2 linked regions of the Anolis sagrei genome follow. The protein of the gene in region 2 interacts with the protein of the main gene of each other region in a biochemical or structural test. Links are inferred from orthologs where the notes say so. Each region holds a gene or a part of one and is shown on either strand. Other genes may lie near its edges.

Evidence for each region. The genes of interacting proteins can lie anywhere in the genome.
Region 1: the proteins of BMPR1B (region 2) and GDF5 interact in a biophysical measurement, tested with the Homo sapiens proteins (3 studies listed by BioGRID and IntAct, with this or other methods). The link is inferred for Anolis sagrei from reciprocal best matches to the Homo sapiens genes BMPR1B and GDF5.

What each region holds. Positions count from the first base shown.
Region 1 is NC_090024.1:206,776,993-206,787,178, forward strand, and holds GDF5 (growth/differentiation factor 5), read right to left. Parts: upstream 6,576-10,186; 5' UTR 6,147-6,575; coding exon 5,510-6,146; intron 3,610-5,509; coding exon 2,741-3,609; 3' UTR 1,358-2,740; downstream 1-1,357. UniProt on the Homo sapiens protein: Growth factor involved in bone and cartilage formation. During cartilage development regulates differentiation of chondrogenic tissue through two pathways.
Region 2 is NC_090025.1:23,795,566-23,805,751, reverse strand, and holds the start of BMPR1B (bone morphogenetic protein receptor type-1B), read right to left. Parts: upstream 5,146-10,186; 5' UTR 4,800-5,145; intron 1-4,799. UniProt on the Homo sapiens protein: On ligand binding, forms a receptor complex consisting of two type II and two type I transmembrane serine/threonine kinases.

The DNA of each region.
Region 1 (10,186 bases), on a different chromosome or scaffold from region 2:
TTTTGCTACCCCATACCTTCCTCTAACATGCTTCTGAAAATCAGTGGCATACCTAGGTAAAACCCTTTCAAAACAAACATTTCCTGGTTGGTTTAAAATGTTTTTCTGTGGTGTACTGTGCAGAATAGCATAGCAGTAGTGGGAAAGAGCATGGCAGTATTGGGGAAGAGATAGAAGTACACTGGGAGTATATCCCCATGAACATTAATTAAGTAGCAGTTTCCATGACAGTCTCATGAGCATGGTTGAGTTTCCAAATAGCTATGTCTGTCATTTTAAGACCATTCCTATATTATCTGGCTTTGTTTTTCCCTCCTTGGCTGAGTGACCATAGGCTATATTTGTTGTTTCAGTAGTATATATTCCATACACTATTTTGGAGCAGAGGATTGCATTGGCATGAAACTGACTGATTTCAATTAATCTTATTTCTATATATCAGGGTTTGTAATGAGATTTCTGCATTCTTTGTTTTAGAAGGTGGTGTGTGTGTGTGTGTGATACCTAAGCACCTGGCTTTAGAAGCGGAAGTGTATATAAATGGTCAAGACAAGGGACAATTAAAAAAAAGCCATGCTCAGCTTCTTGGCAGGGGGTTGGACTGGATGACCAAAAAGGTCTCTTCCAACTCTTTGATTCTATGATTCTAACAGAGTTGGGCATGCATAAGGCCATTGATGCCAAAGGGCTTCAGTGCACAGCTCTAAGGACCTTATCACACTAGAGCGTGGAATCCACTTTAAATCCATTTTCTGCCTCCTGCAGAATTCTGAGATTTGTAGTTTAGGAAGGGGTCTTTAAACTGCTCAGCCAGGTAGGTCCTGGATTTCACTAAACTACAAACCCCAAAATTCTGCAGGAGGCAGAAACCAGATTTAAAGTGGATCCATACTCTGGTGTGATGAAGCTGTAAGTTTGTTTGTTTGTTTTTGATTAGGCTTCACATTGCACAAATATAACATATTGTACAGTTATAGCTCTGTCTTATGGAATCTGGGGACTAATAGTTTTGTGAGCTGCTGCTGCTCTGTGGCAGACATTTCTAAATACCACTTCCAGTTTTCCAGAGGATGGAGCCATGGCTTTTAAAGTGCTACGAAAATACTGTAACCATGTAGTGTGAAATAGACCTTGGAGTAATTATTTTTCCCAAGAAAGCCTTTGCAACTTATTGTCATGGCACTTTCTCTGTAATATTTTTAGAGTCCTCTTGAAACAAAATAACTTTGATTGATGTTTGCTGTATGCACATCCATACAATGTTCATAAAAACAGCCTGTCTCGCTTCTGCTTTCTTTGATTTTTATTAATTGAACAAAACACTGAAAACAAAGTTTCTAATAAAATTATATTTATGGCAACTATGCCATCTAGATACACTTAACACTGTCAAATAATTTACTACATCTTAAGTTGATTTTTCTATGACCATTAGTAGACAGCACACATGATAAGGAGAATAATAAAACAGACTGAACATACTATTTAAAAGCATGATATTTAAGAAAAATAATATACAATGGAAGAAATAAGTTCCCCCGAAGTTCTCTAAATCCATGTCTGTGTACAATTTATAGGAAAATCAATATTCTATCAAATATACAGTCTTAAGAATTAGTATGAAATGTTGCTTACAACTATTTGTGTAAAATTGATTAGTTTAATCATGGTGTTTTGCAAAGATATCAGGATTATTTTCAAGTACATGTGAAATGAATGCATATGCTGACAATGAACACTGAGGATTAATCCTGTAGAGAGGGATTAACATTATTTAGGCTTTCAAACTACCAGTGTTAAGGAACCTATTGGCATTAGGTTTGCCAACGTCCCTGTAAATTCAAAACTTAATATGATATGAAAATCTAAATGTCCTTTGAGGAAGATGTATTACATCGTCTTGCTAAGAGGTTATCCAGGCATGGACAGGTATGCCATGCTATTAAATTATGGAGAAATTAGAGCATAAACTGATGCCAGAATGATACAATGAGGCTTTTTAAAGCCTGCAGCCTAAAGACTGAGGGGCAAAAAGGCTGAGTGGGAATAACACCTTATCTTGCCCTGTTTCACTCACCAAAATATCTTAGGCCACCACTAGGTCTAGTAGTAGCAAATTAGTGCTACAATGTGTCCAGAATAAAGACATACAATAAGTGAAATGTTATTCTGCTTCTTCTGTGAATGAATTCCAGTTTTTATCAAAAACATATAGCCTGAGCCTATCAGCTAGTTCACTAGTTACAAGCACAATCTTGCTACACTCGTGCAATGGCATAACCTATGGCTTTGCCACATGAATTTATATGGCATGATTGTGCCAAGATATTTTAGAGCTCTTATGCTGGCAATCACAAACATCTCCAGATGTGTCACAGCTGTTCAGTGGCACAGAAATGGATTGACAAGGTGCCCAGTGGAAGAATAATTGAGGATGTGACCGATTATAATATCACTATGCATAGGGGCATTTCCACCACTACAGAGCCCAAAGCATTGGGCAATCATCCATGTCCAAGGTTTGGTGGTTTCCTTGCAGAGGTTGCAGCTGAGAGGCTGCATAGAAAGTAGACATGCATAACTAGCCAGCATTGAAATACAACTATAGCTATTGTCAGTGCAACCCCCTTTGGGTAATAATACAGTGCTGGTCCATAGAATTGAAGTGTTCAAAGTTCATATATTAAAATCAGCCGCTGGGAAAAGCTTTGTCCAGAGAGCCACGTGAAAGGCTGTGCTGCTACCTACAGCCACATGACTCCACTACCATGTCTTCATATTGTTTGTAGACCACATTATTGGCAGAGTCAATAAACAGGATGCTAATGGGACTCAGCCTTGTTGGCACGCAGCAAGTTGGAGGCGTTGACTCTGGATCCATAGAGTTCATTAATGTTTGGATAACAGCATGATTGGTCGGTTCCAGATGAGACCGAAGAGGGAATTCACAGAGTCCTTCACAATGATAAGCTTCATACTCAAGAGGTGCTATTATCCAGTCATCCCATCCCATATCTTTAAAATTTACATGCAGTGCTTTTTTGCTACATCTTGCCTTCAGATTCTTGTTGGGCCTCTTTCCTTGTCGAGTTGCTAGAGGAGCCCTTCTCTTTCTTCTTTGATTGAATAGGTATTCATAAACAGTTTTGTCATCCTGGCCAGATCTGGCTTTGATTTCATTGAAGAACAAGTCTCTTTTCTTTGTCCTACCAAACACTAAAAACAGAGCCTTTTCATTGACTTGCCTCCCTGTTCTATTAAACCCCACAGTCCTTAAATCAACAGGCCTCCCCCTTTCAAAAGCTTCCAGTTCAAAACACAAGTTAGCAGAGTTTTTAAAATTCCTAAAAAGTTTCCAAATGTCAAAAACTTCCCATTTTGCAGTATCTAAGATATTGACAGTTCGAGAGTCCAAGAGGATGGACGCTTGCCGGTTTGTGGAGCAACTGAAAAGTTTCACTTGGCATGTTTTCCCATGAGGATGAGGCTTCCAGGTATCTGAAGGTTTTTTCCTCAAAATACGAAGTTCTGCTCCTAGTAAGCCGTCTTTTTCTAAGGCACTGATATCAAACATATATTTCTGCTTTTTTACAGTGGGAGCTCGGTCATCTAAAGAGAAAAGAAGGAAGACATTCATGTATCTCAGACAGAAATTTGCTTTTTGTTTTCAGCTTTTTGAAACAACATACAATGTCTACAGTTACAGTAGAGTCTCGCTTATCCAACCTTTGCTCATCCAACGTTCTGTATTATCCAATGCAGTCTGCCTCCCACCTGCATCCACAGCTATTACAATACATTATAATGTTTTGGTGCTAAATTCATAATACAAGAATTACTACCTAACATTACCGTGCATTGTACTGATTTTTCTGTCGATTTGTTGTAAAACATGATGTTTTGGTTCTTAATTTGTAAAATCATAACGTAATTTGACGTTTTAATACACTTTTCCTTAATCACTTATTGTCCAACATTTTCACTTATCCAATGTTCTGCTGGCCTGTTTATGTTGGATAAGTGAGACTTTACTGTAATTTGAAATGACACATTAGCTCTGTTAGGAATTAGAAGTTTACTAGAATATTCAAGTTCAGACATGGAAATATTTCTGCTTCATCGTCAGGAGCCATTTCCTCCACCACATTAAGGTTAATCAGTGAAAGTTAACTTATACTCAAATATATGTAAAATTATTGTACTAGGCTGTTAATGAGAGTTTGTGGCTTTCTTTACTAGTAATGCATTATGATAAATGAATGGAGACAACCCTGGCAGACTGAAAACAAAATAAAATAGAAAGTCACACATCAGTCAAGCATGTTTAAAGTTTGAAAATAAAGCATCTAAGCTGTACCATCACCTAAAAAGATATTTGCCTTACCATATTTTAAATCTTGACAACCAGCCCCTTCACGACCTGTATATTGCATTGCCATCCAAAGTCTTCATGGTACTTCATATACAGCCTTGCCTTTGTTTACATACTTCCAAAACTTTTACAGTGAAAATGAATGCATGAATCTGTGATGGATGAAAGCTACTTTCCATAATCAAAGTTGTATGCAGCCCACCTTCCAGTGACACTTGTCTGGGAGCACTGTGCACTCAGCACTTGATCCAGAGCTTGGAAAATGTGCTTTCTTAGACTCTATCATTATATTGACTAGCTGGGAAATTTTGAGAGTTCCACTTCAGAAAAAAACTAAAATTTTGAAGCTCTGATATAGGTTACATAGACTTTGTGAAGGTCTAAAAAAATACAAATGGTCTCATAAATTCCTCTACCAGTGTTATCGTCACTACTTCATCACACTAGAGAATGGATCCACTTTAAATCCAGTTTCTGCCTCTTACAGAATTCTGGGGTTTATAGTTTAGTGAGGCTGTTAAAGGCTCCTCCCTAAACTACAAACCCTAGAATTGTGCTGGAGGCAACAACTGGGTTTAAAGTGGATTCAAGAGTAAATCACATGTATATTTACCAAAGTATATTTAATTTCATTTCATTTCTACAGATCCCCCCCCCCCAAAAAAAAAAAAAAGATTTAGAGGTGGCCTGATTCTTGTTCTTCTTAAGTCCGCCTTTATAGTTAAAGCTTGAATAGATATTGATTGATCTGGTCTTGCTGCTGGAGAAGTAATTGTTTAGATCCAAACTTAAAGAGTTGAACCCATTGAAAGTTTCATATTGACTAAAGTCCCAGCGATAATGCATCTAGATACATTCTGTCGCCATCATATTTTTTTTGATGCACATTCCACAGAATATATTATTTTTAAATCCTTGTGCCAAATAGCCTTAAAATTACTAGTAGTATACAGTAACGGCATAAACCATCTACAAAATCCCAGTTCTGATGCTGAAAATGCTCTTTAAATCTGCATTGTAAACATGAAAATGTGTGCAATCAGCCACGTTTTACATCTTTCCATAAATACAAAAAAAGGAAGCATTCATATTCAACAAATGCACATTAATATATCTCCAAACATTAGCTTTTCTTACCTTGTCCCTTGTCTATGAAGCTTGTGATTGTATTGGCAAGTCCGGTCTCCAGTTTCACACTTCCGTTCACACCTTTTCTTTCCGCATCAGACAGAGTCCTGTATAAGGAAAGCATGTATTCGTGGGGTGTGATAGCAGGATGTCTTAATGACTCTTTAGATTCTCTTTGGGCAATAGAGTCTTTAGGCTTTTTGTTTTTATAAGAGCTGGCATCAGAATTCCCTGTGCCAGTTTTCTTCGGTGGGGCTTTGGGGCCAAAGTTCTGAACCTTTGGAGTCACTGTTCTCACTCCAGTTTGCCTGTTTGGAGGATGTCCTCCTACCTTTTTGTCTGTGCTCCCTGCTTTAGGGAGAGCCTTCTTTGAGTCATCAGTTTTTGCCACGAGAGTTCCAGCTTGAGCAGTGTTGGTTTTTGTCCTTGGCTTGGAATTCCCAGTGCTATATCCATGGCTTCCCGTTCTAAAGGTACCTGCCCTTGGCAAAGGGTTCCTCTCTTTTCCATCTACTTTTGATACAGCTAATTTGGCTCCTGGATTCCCTTGACTTGCTTCAGCAGGACTCAACACTAAGGAGATGAGAACGAGATGAAACCAACAAAAGTGCCAAAGCAGTAAAGTAAGAAAGTGCAAGATTTTCATCCTCTGGTCTTCCTTTGAATGCCTCCAAAGAAAAATTCAGAAAAGATTCCTCTTCTAGTTTGGCATAAGAAAACATGAAAGAAATTGAAAACCAAAGTCAGCAGGAAAAGCTTTATTTTCAGCTTAAAACACTTTAAATCTACTTGTCCAATCTTTGTATCCAGTCCCATAGTGGAGATGCTCATTTACTCCGTTCCGTCTTCTCCTGGTTTCTGCTAGCAGCCTGTTCTTGAAAAGAGAAAGTTTACTACCCCCCTTTCTTCTGTAAAAGTGACTAAAAACTTGAAGGACTCTTGTTTAAATCGGAGAGGGTTTTTTTTTCCAAGAAGGAAGAATGGCGTAATGCTGCCTCTGTGTTAAAAGGTTTTTAAAAAAGTTTTGAATCCCTTCCAGTGAAAATATTTCACACACAGAAACCTGCAGGTGCTCAGAAATCTTTTACAAACCTGAACTCAGGAATTGGAAGCGGAATTCCAACAAAAACCTATTTAATTACTCTCTGATGTCATGCTGTCTAAACTAATTTAAGTGTGATATATTTCTTTTAAAAAGTCTTCTTTGCCCTTTCCATTAGCATGAGTCATACCCTGCTTCATGTAAAATAACTCTGTAGGACCAAAAAATCTATAGAATATGCAATTTAAAGTGGCAACATGTTGCCTATTTTAGCCTTAAATGAACTTCTCATTTGAAACAAGACAGAGTCACATAAGATAAAACAGTACACGCTTTTAGCAAGATCATGTCTAAATAACAATATTGATCTCTGTGAATAATATCTAATTCACAGCTGTTTTTATAAAGCTCTGAACATAGAACCCAGTATTTTCTCAGCAGCAATTTCATTCTTTGGGTTGGTGATGACAGCACAGAAGTGAACAAGAGTATTAACAAAATGTAGTCATCCCTGCTAAGCATTTTAAAACATTATGACACACTGAAACAAGAAAAAAAATAATCTGATACATTTCCAGGGAATATATTGTATATTCTGTTATATTAATATGTTCCCTGGTTGACTTTGGAAGTCCATAGACATTCATTGTTAGGCAGCAACATTTGTTCCAGGAACATGGACCTTCTATACACTGGAAGCATTAAGGGATCTCAATACCATATTCTGGAGCTAAATCCTATTATCTTAAATAACTTGGATACAAATGTGATATTTGGTTTAAAGGCTTATCACTCTTTCCAGTTTTCGACTACTGAATAATGGGATGGACCACATAAAGAAGGGATAGAAATGCCTTAAAGAGAAGAAGGAGGGAAGGAAGGTAATGAGCAAGACAGAGAGGAGAAGGTGACACAAGGTGTAAAGGAAGTTGATGTGGTAGCACAAAGAGGAAAGGGAAGGTGGATGGTGCAGTGCAGAGCGTAAGGAGTGGATAAGGAAGGAATGGCAGCAGCAATAGGCAAGGGCCAGAGAAATGAATGGGACAAGGTAGGTGCACTGAAAGGGAGAAAAGCAAGATAATAGTAGCTCAGGTTCCCAGGAAGAGCATAGTGGTGTAATTTATCACTCCTGGTACTCTCTTCCTTTGATAGCCAGCTTATGAGAGAAACTTGTGGCATAATGTAAAATAAACCACATGTAGTTCACATTTAATCAGTCCACACACTGCCTTGCCAGATAAAGAAAATATGAACAATAAAGAACAAGTAGTTTACTCTTTGTAGTTCATAACAACATATGTACAGTCATGTGATCAGTTACATCAGTTCACATAATGTGCTTTTATGAGAGATTTAAAATAGTCTTTCTTTGTCCATGTGGAGAAACTCCTTTAGCAGCTCATAAAGCAAGAACACACTCTAAATGCTGTCTCTCTCTGCTTCTCTCTTCTTCTCTCTGCGTCTCTCAGAGCACCTGCATAGCTCAAGCCTGAAAAATGTAACAGTGACCAAAAATCCCAGGCTTAGCTTGTTCCCCAGGCACAGCCCGACCAATCAGCTTCATACATCTTATTTTACCATTAACACACACATTAACTGATTTCTTGCATGCTGTAACGCAACTCAGAGGAAAGCAGAAGCTGAGAAAAGGCCAGAGGTGAGGATGGATGGATGGGTAAACAGATCGAAGCTTACTGAGTCAGATTATTTTGACCTGAGATTTTGGAGGAACAGATTCAAATGTGGAAGGACTAACTCTACATTTATTTAATGTAGTCAGTGGAGGTAGGCTGGCCACTAGGATCACCATTTCAGAACTATCTCAGAAACACAAGTCCATAGGCCAAAATCTGGGACCTAGGAATGGTCTTTGGTGGTGTCAAGCATTATGCATTAGGTACCCATGATAATTACTCACACACTATATTATGCTGTTTAGAAATATAGGGAAAAAAACTTTGCTAAAGGGGTTGTAATTAAATCAATGTGAAATTAGGTGGTTAGGATAAGGAGCATAAGAAATATTTAAGCCAAAAGATGGATGCAGAATGGAGGCTAAATCTTGATGCCAGGAGGGATGGTGGGAACTAACTAAATACATAGACACCCCCCACCCCACGAAGAATGTTTGCAAGATGCATCAACAGTACAACCCTTGCAAATTCTAGGAAACTGCAATTCTACTATTTAAGATAGTCTGGTGCTGAGTTCACCAAAACTGCAGAATTTGTACCCTCGTGTCTTGCTTGGAAATAACCAATGAAAATTTGAGGCTTAGGATCAGATGCTGAGATTTGGCAACCCTATTTGTCATACCAGATTAATATTTTGTTTGATTCTTTTTAATGAAACCAAATACTTTCTGAGTGTAACAGTGTTACTCTGTTGGAGCAAAACAGTAGTGTCTACTTGCAAGCTTTAATAAGTTTTATTTGCCATAAAGCTTTGTAAACTGCAGCCCATTTCAACAGATTCATGAAGTGTTGTCTCAGCTGACAGATGATTACACACATTGTTGGATGGGAGCAGGTCATTAAGTGAGGTGAGAGGAAACTGAAATATTAAAAGTACAAACATCAACTGGTAATTAATCACGAATAGCTGGGTGATGGCATGGAATTCTTACCACAAATAAACTGATTAGTTCATATATTGTGAGGAAACAGGGAACAGGAAAAGGAAAGTTAAATTCTATTCTATTCTAGTAGTTACAAAAAAAAATTCTGCATTTCTGAAGGAAAACTCACCCTGCTTTTTCCTCCTGCAACTGCTTTGTTTTTTTCTTACCTTCCTTTTCATTTCCTCCTGTGAATCAGATGGCAGTCAGTCTCAATTACTTTTTGTGATTGTACCTTTTTGCTATCAATAAAAATAATTATGGCGAAAAGATCCAGTGATTGAGAAGGGTCATGCATGATATCATCATTATCATTATTTGAAAATTAGAATGCAAATTAGTAATGTAAACTGTGAACATACAGACATGCACATGTATATAAGCATAGATAAGCAGGTAAATATATGCATAGTGTAGAAAAATATTTGGCTAGTACATTGGCACAGAAACAGTAAAATGCCATCAATAAGCTTCTTTTTTGTGTGTCAGGAGCGACTTGAGAAACTGCAAGTTGCTTCTGGTGTGAGATAATTGACTGTCTGCAAAGACGTTGCCTAGGGGATGCCTGGATGTTTGATGTTTTACCATCCTTGTGGGAAGCTTCTCTCATGTCCCCGCATGGGGAGCTGGAGCTGACAGAGGGAGCTCAACCCACCCTCCCCAGATTTGAACCGCTGACCTATCAGTTAGCAGTTCTGCTAGCACAAGGGTTTAACCCACTGTGCCACCGGGGGCTCCATCAATAAGCTGGCATGGGGAGAATCCTATCGTTACAAATGTAACAGTGATTAAAGTCATATTTAAATATATGCCATTAGCCAATAAAAATTGTTTGCCTTCATATCTCCATTAATGGACTGGGATTTGTGAATATATACCCGTTCAGCTTTTTTTCTTTTCCATCTCCATTAAAAGTGTTCTGTTAATGAACTGTACCTTGGAGGTCTGGGATGGAATGACCAACAACGTTGAAATATTCTTCCACCGTTTTCTTGGTATTTCCATTTCTAATATCAGAATAAAAGTG
Region 2 (10,186 bases):
TTTGTCACAACTAAATCTCTTTTAAATTTCTGGTCGAAAGTTGGCCACCCTACTATGCACATAGTTGAAGGTAATTTTAAACAAAATATTTTAAATTATGTTGTGCATGAAAAAAAGTTTGTGCATTCTGAAGAGTCAAAATGCAAAGGTGTCACTATCCTAGCCACTCATGTAGACAAGGTCAGATTTTGGAGAATTTGGAATTCTAGATAAGGAATGCTCCAGTCTTTGCCCAAATCAGATGCTGAAAAGTTACTGTTTTAGGCTACATTTCCTGCAAGACCCATATAAGCATGGACAATGTTCATGCTCATTGTGAGATCGAGAGAACTTTAGTCCAAAACAGTCACTTTCCCAAGCTGTGCCTCTGATGTAGTCCATAAGACAGAACAGGGCAAATAGGAAAGCATCAATACTATTTCCATTTAAATGCTCTATTCTTCAGAGCAGAAAAAAGCAAAACAATGCAGGTGCAATGTGTACTGTATGAAGTACTGACCTTGTGAAGGCAATAGTGTAAGTTCCCAACCAAGTGTGGTTTATCTTCATAGCAAGAGTGGAAAATTAAAGCAGACAGAGAGGGAGAACACCTGTTAGAACACTAAGTTAGCAGATGCTGCCAGTGCTGCCTTTGATAAAGAACTCTCAGTACCATTACTGTACTCTTAATAATCACATATTTGACCTTTACGAATAGGACATAAGCAGTACTCTTTCCTGCTTTTAGTTTTCCAAACCTCACCACACTGTGAGACTAATCTATGCTGCACTGACCAACCACAGGCCAAGAGAGCACAGTATTCATTCATGTGGTTTGTGTACCTTTTGGATATGACACCTGTTCTCAAATTAGAAACAAACACAACAAGCTACATTAGTGGCTCATGATGCATGTGCACATACATGCTATTTCTGCTCCCTGGCATACCCTAAAGACATCAGATTCCATCTGATCTTGGAAGTTAAGCAGGGTCAGCCTTGGTTGGGAGACCACCAAGAAGCCCCAGATGCTGAAGGATGTATTTCAGAGAAAAGAAATGGCAAACCCTCTTAGTATTCCTTACCTATGAAATCTATCAGGTTGCTGTAAGTCAACAAGCATCTCAAAGTGCACACACCTACCATTTTTTCACTATGTAGTCTCCACCTCACACTGATGGGATTTTGTTCTCTACAGCACCTTGATACTACACTTTAATTTTTCAAATGAATAGAGTTTGTTTTTTTTTTTTAAACAAAATGTAAAAGTAGCTGTACCAATCCTGTGTTGACCACAACTAGTCCAAGTACAGGGAGGAAACAGTGATGCTATGTCATTTTCCTTTCCAGAAATTGTGTTAATTTGCACAATGGAAAACAAAATGGTGGACTAGAGATAGATGTTTGGCCTAATGCTGGAAGGCTCTTCTCTCACATCTCAAGTATGTCTGATCCATAATTTGGTGCAATGGCAATTGGGAAATTCTCATCCAAATCTGTTTGTTATTCATATTGTCAGGCCATTGATTCCCTAGTTTTGTGCTATAGTCAGTTTGGGAAGAGTTGTTCTCTCTCAGTACCCAATCTCTGTCAATAATTCACACACGCCCCCCCCCCCAAAAAAAATTCAGATAAACCCTGAAAGACAAAGAGTTTGCACACATATATGTCACATAAATAAATAAATAAATAAATAAATAAATTGATATTCCGCCCTAGCTCCCCAAGAGAACATTGCACGAGACACTAAAAGTATATCATATCTGTCCACATGCAACTCTGCAAAGTTAAGTAAAATTTCTAGTTGTTAGAACCTATAATATTTTCACTTTCATCATATTCTTCACAGTCCCACCATTTAAAGATAGACTTGCACAACATCTCACCACAACTGACCAACATAAATGCCTCAGGAATCACAAGTCTGCAATCTTCGCTAGAACGTTAGAATCTGTGGCTATTTTCATTTTTTAAAAACATGTTCTGATTTCTAGGCAACCGGGAGAGAAATACAATGGGAGGGGGAGAACATTCCAGAAAAAGCAGGACCTTTGGGTTTATAAAGCTATACCTGTGCACTTCAAGGCCTCAACCAAAAGAGCAGGTAGTATGGCATATTATAGGATGGCCAGAATGAACACAGGAGGGGATACTTGTACCTTTAACATTTGTGTAGAAGAGGGAGTTTCCACAGGTGTTGAAGCACCCAACTTGTTACTTGGGTGCTTGACCACCAACATCTACTAAAAATCACTCTTCTCCAACACAAATAAAGGTAGAAGTGCCCTCTTCAGTTTTCAAAATACTTTGAAATACCCCATCCTTTGGCTCCCATAATTTTGCCCTGAGTACTCTTTTTTTTAATTCAGAGCAGAAAGTGAAGAAGAACTCTATGTACAGGATGAGTATCTCTTATCCAGAAATCTGAAATGCTCAAATCATCCACAAGAGTAGCTAAGACAGCGACAGTTTCGCTTTCTGTTAGTTCAATGTACACAAACTTTGTTTCATACACAAAGTTATTGAAAAATGTTGTGCATGAAATTACCTTTAGGCACACACACACACACACGTGTGTGTGTGTGTGTGTGTGTGTGTGTGTATAATGCATTAATTTTGTCCTGAGATACAGTCAACTTCCTGTATCCTGTATCCATGGATTCAAACAACCATGGGTTTGAAATATGTTTTGCAAAATCCAGAAAGCAAAGCTTGAATTCTATAATAAGGGACACAATTTTATGATACCCTTGAATAGTAAAATGGGACTTGAGCAGCTATGGGTTTTTGTATTTACTGAAGGGATACCTCTGGATATCAGGGGCCCACTGTATCTCATGGATAGATAAAGGTTAAGGTTTTCCTTTGACATTAAGTCTAGTCGTGTCCGATTCTGGGGGGTGGTGCTCATCTCCATTTCTAAGCCAAAGATCCAGCATTGTCTGTAGATGCCTCTAAGACAGGGGTCCTCAAACTAAGGTCCAGGGGCTGGATACAGCCCTCCAAGGTCATTTACCCGGCCCTTGCTTACTGTCAGCCTAAGTCTGAAATGACTTGAAAGCACATATAACAATCCAATCTCATCAGCCAAAAGCAGCCCCACACTTCCTATTGAAATACTAATGTTTATATTTGTTAAAGCTGTTCTTAATTTTAATTATTGTATTGTTTTTAAGTGGGTTTTTTTGCACTACAAATAAGATATGTGCCATGTGCATAGGAATTCATTCATGTTTTTTTTCAAATTACAATCCAGCCCTCCAACAGTTTGAGAGACTGTGACCTGGCCCTCTGTTTACAAAGTTTGTGGACCCTTGCTCTAAGGTAATGGTTCCCAACCTTTTTTTTTTGACCAGGGACCACTTTTACTAGGGACTACTCTCCAACATTAGTACCAAAAGGGTTATGAATCAGGTTTGGTCAACTATAGATTTGGTTTGGTTATTTGGGGTGCCGATTCAGAAAATTGCATTGGATAGGCTACATCAGCTTCTGATACAGAACATATGCCATCCAGTAGTCACCATCTGCTTACCCACAGAAAACCATATTTAATAATGTGTTACCGTGGACTTTATTTTAGGTCTTGCAGCCCACCAGTGGGCCATGGCCCATAGTTGGGAACCACTGTTCTAAGGTAATGTGGCCAACATGACTGCATGGAGCACCGTTACCTTCCCACCGAAGAGGTACCTATTGATCTACTCACATTTGCATGTTTTCGAACTGCTAGGTTCGAAATGCGGAGGACTTACGGTTTTTTATTATGTTTATTGATGTTAATTGTAATGAATTTTTTATCTATGTTAAATATTTTTAATGTTTAAACTATTTTTGTACTGTTGTGGGCATTGAATTGTGCCATTCTGTAAACCGCCATGAGTTGCCCTTGGGCTGAGAATGGCGGTATAGAAGCGTAGTAAATAAATAAATAGGTTAGCAGAAGCTTGGGCTAAGAGAGGGAGCTTACCTCGCTCCCCAGATTCGCACCACTGACCTTTCAGTCAGCAAGTTCAGCACCTCAGCAGTTTAACCATCTGCACCACCGGGAACTCCCATACACAGATAAATATGCATATAGATATGTATATGTATAGATATATACAGATAGATACACACTAAGATCCAAACAAACATTTTGGATATGGGATTTTTGTTGGTGTATGCCTTCCAATTGGTTTTTAACACAGTTTGGCTCCACTTTAAAGTGGCAGGGTGTGTTATGTAGTCTTTTTAAAGTATTATAAGTTTTAGTGGTTTTCACTATTGTTTAATACTTCTAAGTTTAATTCTATCTGTAAATTTTCTAAGATGTATGATTGGCCCCTTTTGAGAAAATATAATAATAATAATAATAATAATAATAATAATAATTTTACAGTGTAGGTTAGGCATGGGCAAACTTCAGCCCTCCCTCCAGGTGTTTTGGACTCCAACTCCCACAATTCCTAACAGCCGAATTGTGGGAGTTGGAGTCCAAAACACCTGGAGGGAGGGCTGAAGTTTGCCCATGCCAATGAACTTCCTCTTGAGCACTGAACAAATGCATTCATTCCAGTGTAGCAGGGGCACCCTAAAACACACTCTTTCCCCCTTTAAAGCAAGCAGGAGAGATACAGTATCGGCACAGAAGGTAAAATGTTGCCCCTCGGACAGAAATGTCCCGGTTCCCATGCAGCATGCTCCCCAAACCCGACCCTCTTCCCCTTCCCCTTCTTCATAAGTGCACCGAAAGGGTTTGCAAAGCCTCCCAAAGGCAAGGCAGGGGAAGCCCGCGCTGGAGAGCCGCCCCACCACCGCTCTCCCCCCTGGAGACTCACGCCAGAAGTCCTGGAAGAAGAAGCCGGGTTTTCTCCTTGCTGCCCTCCCTTTTCCCGGCGGGGAAGCAGAGCTGGGGGCTCCTCCTCAGCTTGGCCCCTTGCAGAGCCCACTCCTGAGCCACCTCCAGCGCCGAAGAGGCTCCTCTGAAAGCCGGTGGAGAAAGAGAGCGAGAGGGAGTGAGCCCAGCAGGCAGGCAGGCAGCCTCCCTCCTTCTCTCCCTCTCTCCTTGCCTCGCTCTCTCCTTCAACACTGGCTCAAGTTACGGCCCATTCACACGATTCCCAAAACAAAGCAACCCCCTCCACCTCCGTTGCATGCCTCTGAAGGCTCGGAGTGAACCAGCCACACCAGGACGGGGTATCTACACTAGCATGAGTGCAGATTGGCACCTCTTGAACTCAGCTCAATGCTGTGGAGGCACCAGGGTTGGGAGTCCCACCATGGTCTTTTTTACGCCTTCACTGCTAAACAACAACAACAATAATAATTTATTTCAGTGGTTCTCAACCTTCCTAATGCCATGACCCCTTAATAAAGTGTTTTACATGTATGTTTTAATTGTAATCTGGGGCATGTCCCTTGTAAACCACCCCTAGGAGAGATGGTTAGCGGGGTATAAAAATAAAGTAGTAGTAGTAGTAGTAGTTGTTGTTGTTGTTGTTGTTGTTACAGTTCCTCATGTTGTGCTGACTCCCAACCATAACAATATTTCCGTAGCTATTGTTATGATTCGTCATCTAAATATCTGATGTATTTTCACTCACTGGACCAAATTTAGCACACCTAAATTTTAATACTGGTGGGGTTGAGGGGGACTTATTTTGTAATTTGGGAGTTATAGTTGCTGGAATTTATCGTTCACATACAATCAAAGAGCATTCTGAACTCCACCAATGATGTAATAGAACCAAACATGCAGGGGCGGATCAACCCATTACGCAAAGTAAGCATTTGCAGTATAGTTGATTTTGCCCAGGGGCACTCTTGAGGCACTCTTGGGGGAAAATAGACCTTGACATATGTGAGTTGTCGTTACTGGGATGTATAGTTCACCTGCAATCAAAGAACATTCTGAACTCCACCAATGATTAAATTGAACCAAATATGGCACACAGAACTCCCATGACGAACAGAAAATATATATCAATCATTGTTTTGGGGGGGGGGGCAAAATACTGCTTGCTTACCCTTGAAAATTACCTAGGGCTGTCTCTGCAAACATGGCACACAGAACTCTCATGACCAAGATAAAATACTGGAAAGGTTTGGTGGGCATTGACCTTGAGTTCTGGAGTTCTAGTTCACCTACCTCTAGAGAGCACTGTGGACTCAAACAATGATGGATCTGGACCAAACTTGGCACAAATACTCACTGTCCAAATGTGAACACTGGTGGACCTTGCAGAAAATAGACCTTCACATTTGGGGGTTGTAGTTGCTTAGATTTATAGTTCACCTCCAATCAAACATCATTCTGAACCCAACCAATGATAGAATTGGGCCAAACTCTCCACACAGAATCCCCATAACAAACAGAAAATACTGTGGGCTGTTGTAGGTTTTTTTGGGCTATATGGCCATGGTCTAGAGGCATTCTCTCCTGACGTTTCACCTGCGTCTATGGCAAGCATCCTCAAGAGGTAGTGATTCCGTCCATGAAAGCTTTCGACAATACAGAAAATACTATGTTTTCTTATGGTCTTCTTATGGTCTTTGGTGACCCCTCTGACACTCCTCAATGCCCTCCCAGGGGTCCTGAACCCTAGATTAAAAAATGTTGGCCTACAGAGATACTCGCAGGAACGCCTCAGCAAGAGAGAGTCCAAAAGTGGCAGGCTAAAACCTGGAACCTCAAGCCACACCAAATGAGATCACTCCATTCCTGGGCACACAGAATACTGGGCGACTTGGAAGGTGCTGAACTGACTGCACTCTGGCACCACGCGATGCAGAGCCAACCTTAAGAAATGGGACCACAAAGTTAAGTTCCTTTTTCCATGATTTGTACTGTATTTTATACCTCTTTGCTATGTATATGCCAATAAAGGCTTATTGGATTGGAACCACAAAGTGGAGTCCACGACGTGTGTGTGGAGAGGAGCAAACCACAGACCACCTATTACAATGTAGTCTGAGCCCTGTCACATGTACAATGGAGGACCTTCTTATAGCAACACCAGAGGCCAGCTCAAAAGGACATAGAGTATAATGCCAAGTTTTTCAACTGTTGCTGCTGTTTTTTTTAAAATGCATTACAACTGTACCCTCAGTTTACTTCTGATATGGTAAGTAAAGTATTTGTAACCTGCCCTATCTCCTCAGTAGGACTCAGGGTGGTTTCCAGAAGGGGAAAAAGGGCAAATATTCAATGACAAAGTGAGCAACAAAACAAATCCAAATAAACAAATAAATAGCATCAATATAAACTTAAAAACTTAATTGACAACCAAAGAAGAGTTAAAAACACATAAGCCTCATCATACACATTTACATCATGTGATTTAATAATGTGGTGATGATCTACAACAGCAAAACAGCACCAAAGTGCCTCACAAAACTCAAACTCCCAGAGCAGTTTAAAATTGATGTTAAACTGCATTGCTTCTATCGTGTAGGTCAGAACTGGGCAAACTTTGGCCCTCCAGGTGTTTTGGAATTCAATTCCCACAATTCCTAACAGCCCTGTGAATAAGGTGTATTTTAAACATACATGAAATTCATGTATAGGCTTAGGTCAAGATACAGCCAGTATTGGTGGACTGTTTTATTATTCATTTATTACATTTCCACTATATATATCTGGCATGGGCAAACATTGGCCCTCCAGATGTTTTGGACTCAAATTTCCACAATTCCTAACAGCTGGTAGGCTGTTAGGAATTGTGGGAGTTGATGTCCAAATGTCTGGAGGGCCAAATTTTGCCCATGTCTGATCTATACAATACCACATTGCAGTGACAAATCACAATCCAATTTTTTGTAGAGTAAAATATTATTTATTAGTATGAGGATTTGATAGGGAAATAGATTCTTAAGTCTGCAGCTCCAGGAGAGAAGGGAGAGTGGAAAGGGTTAGGCCTATTATTATTATATAGAATCATAGAATCAAAGAGTTGGAAGAGACCTCATATTAGTGGGTTTTGTATCCACTGATTCAACTATCCACAGCTTGAAAAGCAAAACTCGTTTTTGCCACTTTTTGTTTTTTTAAAGGGTAAGTGGGTAATATTTCTGAGCTATGGATGGTGGATTCCATGGAGGTGGAGGGTAGACTGTAGTGAAGTAAAGGTAAAGATTTCCCCTGACATTAAGTCTTGTGTCCGACTCTGGGGGGTGGTGCTCATCTCCATTTCTAAGGTGAAGAGCCAGCGATGACCATAAACACCTCCTACATCAGAATGACTGCATGGAGTGGTCAGAATGACTGCATGGATTGCCATTACCTTCCTGCAGAAGCGGTACTTATTGATCTACTCTCATTTGCATGTTTTCGAACTGCTAGTTTGGCAGAAGCTGGGACTAGCAGCCGGAGCTTGCCCTGTCTGCGTAGTGAAATAGCACTGTCAAAAATATTGAAATTAACAGAGCAGTCTTGATATGTTTATTCAGAACTAAGTCCTAATTGTGTTCTTAAACCCTACTGTATGTGTGTGTGTCTTAAGCCTCATTTGAACTGCCATAGAATACAGATTCAAAATGCAGTTAACTGCATCGAACTAGATTATATTAATCTACACTGCCATAGAATGCACTTAAACTGTGACAGTGCATTCTGTGACAGTGAAGATGAGGCCTCAGTCCACTGAAATGGAGGTGACTCAGTGCTCATCACATTCTCTCAGCCTCATAGGAAATCAATAGCAAATCTCCTTGGAACAAATCCTGCCAAGAAAACCCTATGGTAGGGTAGCCTTTGGGTCACTTTAAGGCACAATCTGTGTCAAGGGGCATCATAGAAAATATGCCACTTTTATCTATCATGCTTCCCTCTTGTGGTATCCTAGAACTGGCACTGGAAGGGTATCTAGAAGGTTAGATGATCCCTTGTAGCTAGAGGATGTGGGTCCATAGGTGGTTGTGGAATCCTATTCTTGATCTGCATATTCTCCCACAGTGAGGACACAGGTTTCCAGATGGAAGGCGGTCCCAGTCAGGATTGGTTTGATTATCCAAAAGCTTGGTCCCACATCCACTTTTTCAGTTTTTTCCTCAAGGTCAGGAGGGAGGTGGCTGATCTGATGTCACTGGAGACGGAGTTCCACAACCAAGGGGCCACCACTGAAAAGGCTCTGACTCTCGTCCCCCACCAACCGCATCTGTGAAGGAGATGGGACCAAGAGTATGACCTCCCCAGATGATCTTAATCTCCAAGATGGTTCATAGAGGGAGATACGTTCCTATAAGTAAGCCGGGGCGGGTAAAATAATCCTTCTGGTCCAGTCCAACTGGTCACGAGTACATTGGCCCTCCATATTTAAAGGCTTGACGATTCTGGATTTGATTATTTGGGGAATAGATTAAATTCTTCCCTCTAGTAGTCTCTAGACCCTCTGATATGATTCTATGGTCAATATGCTGCAGAAACCAACATAGAGTTATACTGGCAGACCTAGAAATTCCTGGAAATGTTTTGTCTCAGGTTAAGAAGATGTTTTTAATTTGGTTTTTTTCTTCACCCATAACCCAAGCAAATCTAGAAATCTGGAGTAGAGGAAACAATAATGTCAATCTCATAATGGCTGCTGGGTGCTCAAAGGAGAGCCTATCATTCATGTAACAGCAGAAGTATCTTCAGCAGTTCTACCTCTCTTTCTTCTCCAAATCTGCTTCTTCCCATGGTTTCGGCTTGCCTTCAGTGTTAAAGCTCTTTTCGTATCAAGATACTAGTAGCCCCAAGGCAATCAACTGCTGATTGTGATAGAGATTTCACACTCAAAGAGCCCATCTGATATGTTTAATTTCTAATGTGTGGAAAAGTAGAGAAGAAAGGAAGCCAGCCATCTCAAGATTTTAGGATATCGAAGCATACCAAGCAGTGCACAAACCAGTTGGAAAGTAAACATACAGAAACAAAAAGCTCCGCGACATGACCTGTCACCCACTTTGAGGACTGAAACTTTGATTAAGTCCTTGACATATTGGGTGAGATCTTGTTTGCCTTTTTCTTTTCATGCACCTTTGCACTTGTAGGCCTTGACTGGGACCCAAGCCAGAAGTGCTAAAAGCATGCAAGAAATGTTTGGTTTTTTAAAAATTATTGTACCCAGAAGTGGAAATACTGGAAGCATTAATAAGGCGGCTTGCTCTTGTTTGGTTTTTGGGTTAGCAAAATCTTTGTTTTCAGATTATCCTTACACATTGAGAATCTCTGGCTTCTGTTGACAAT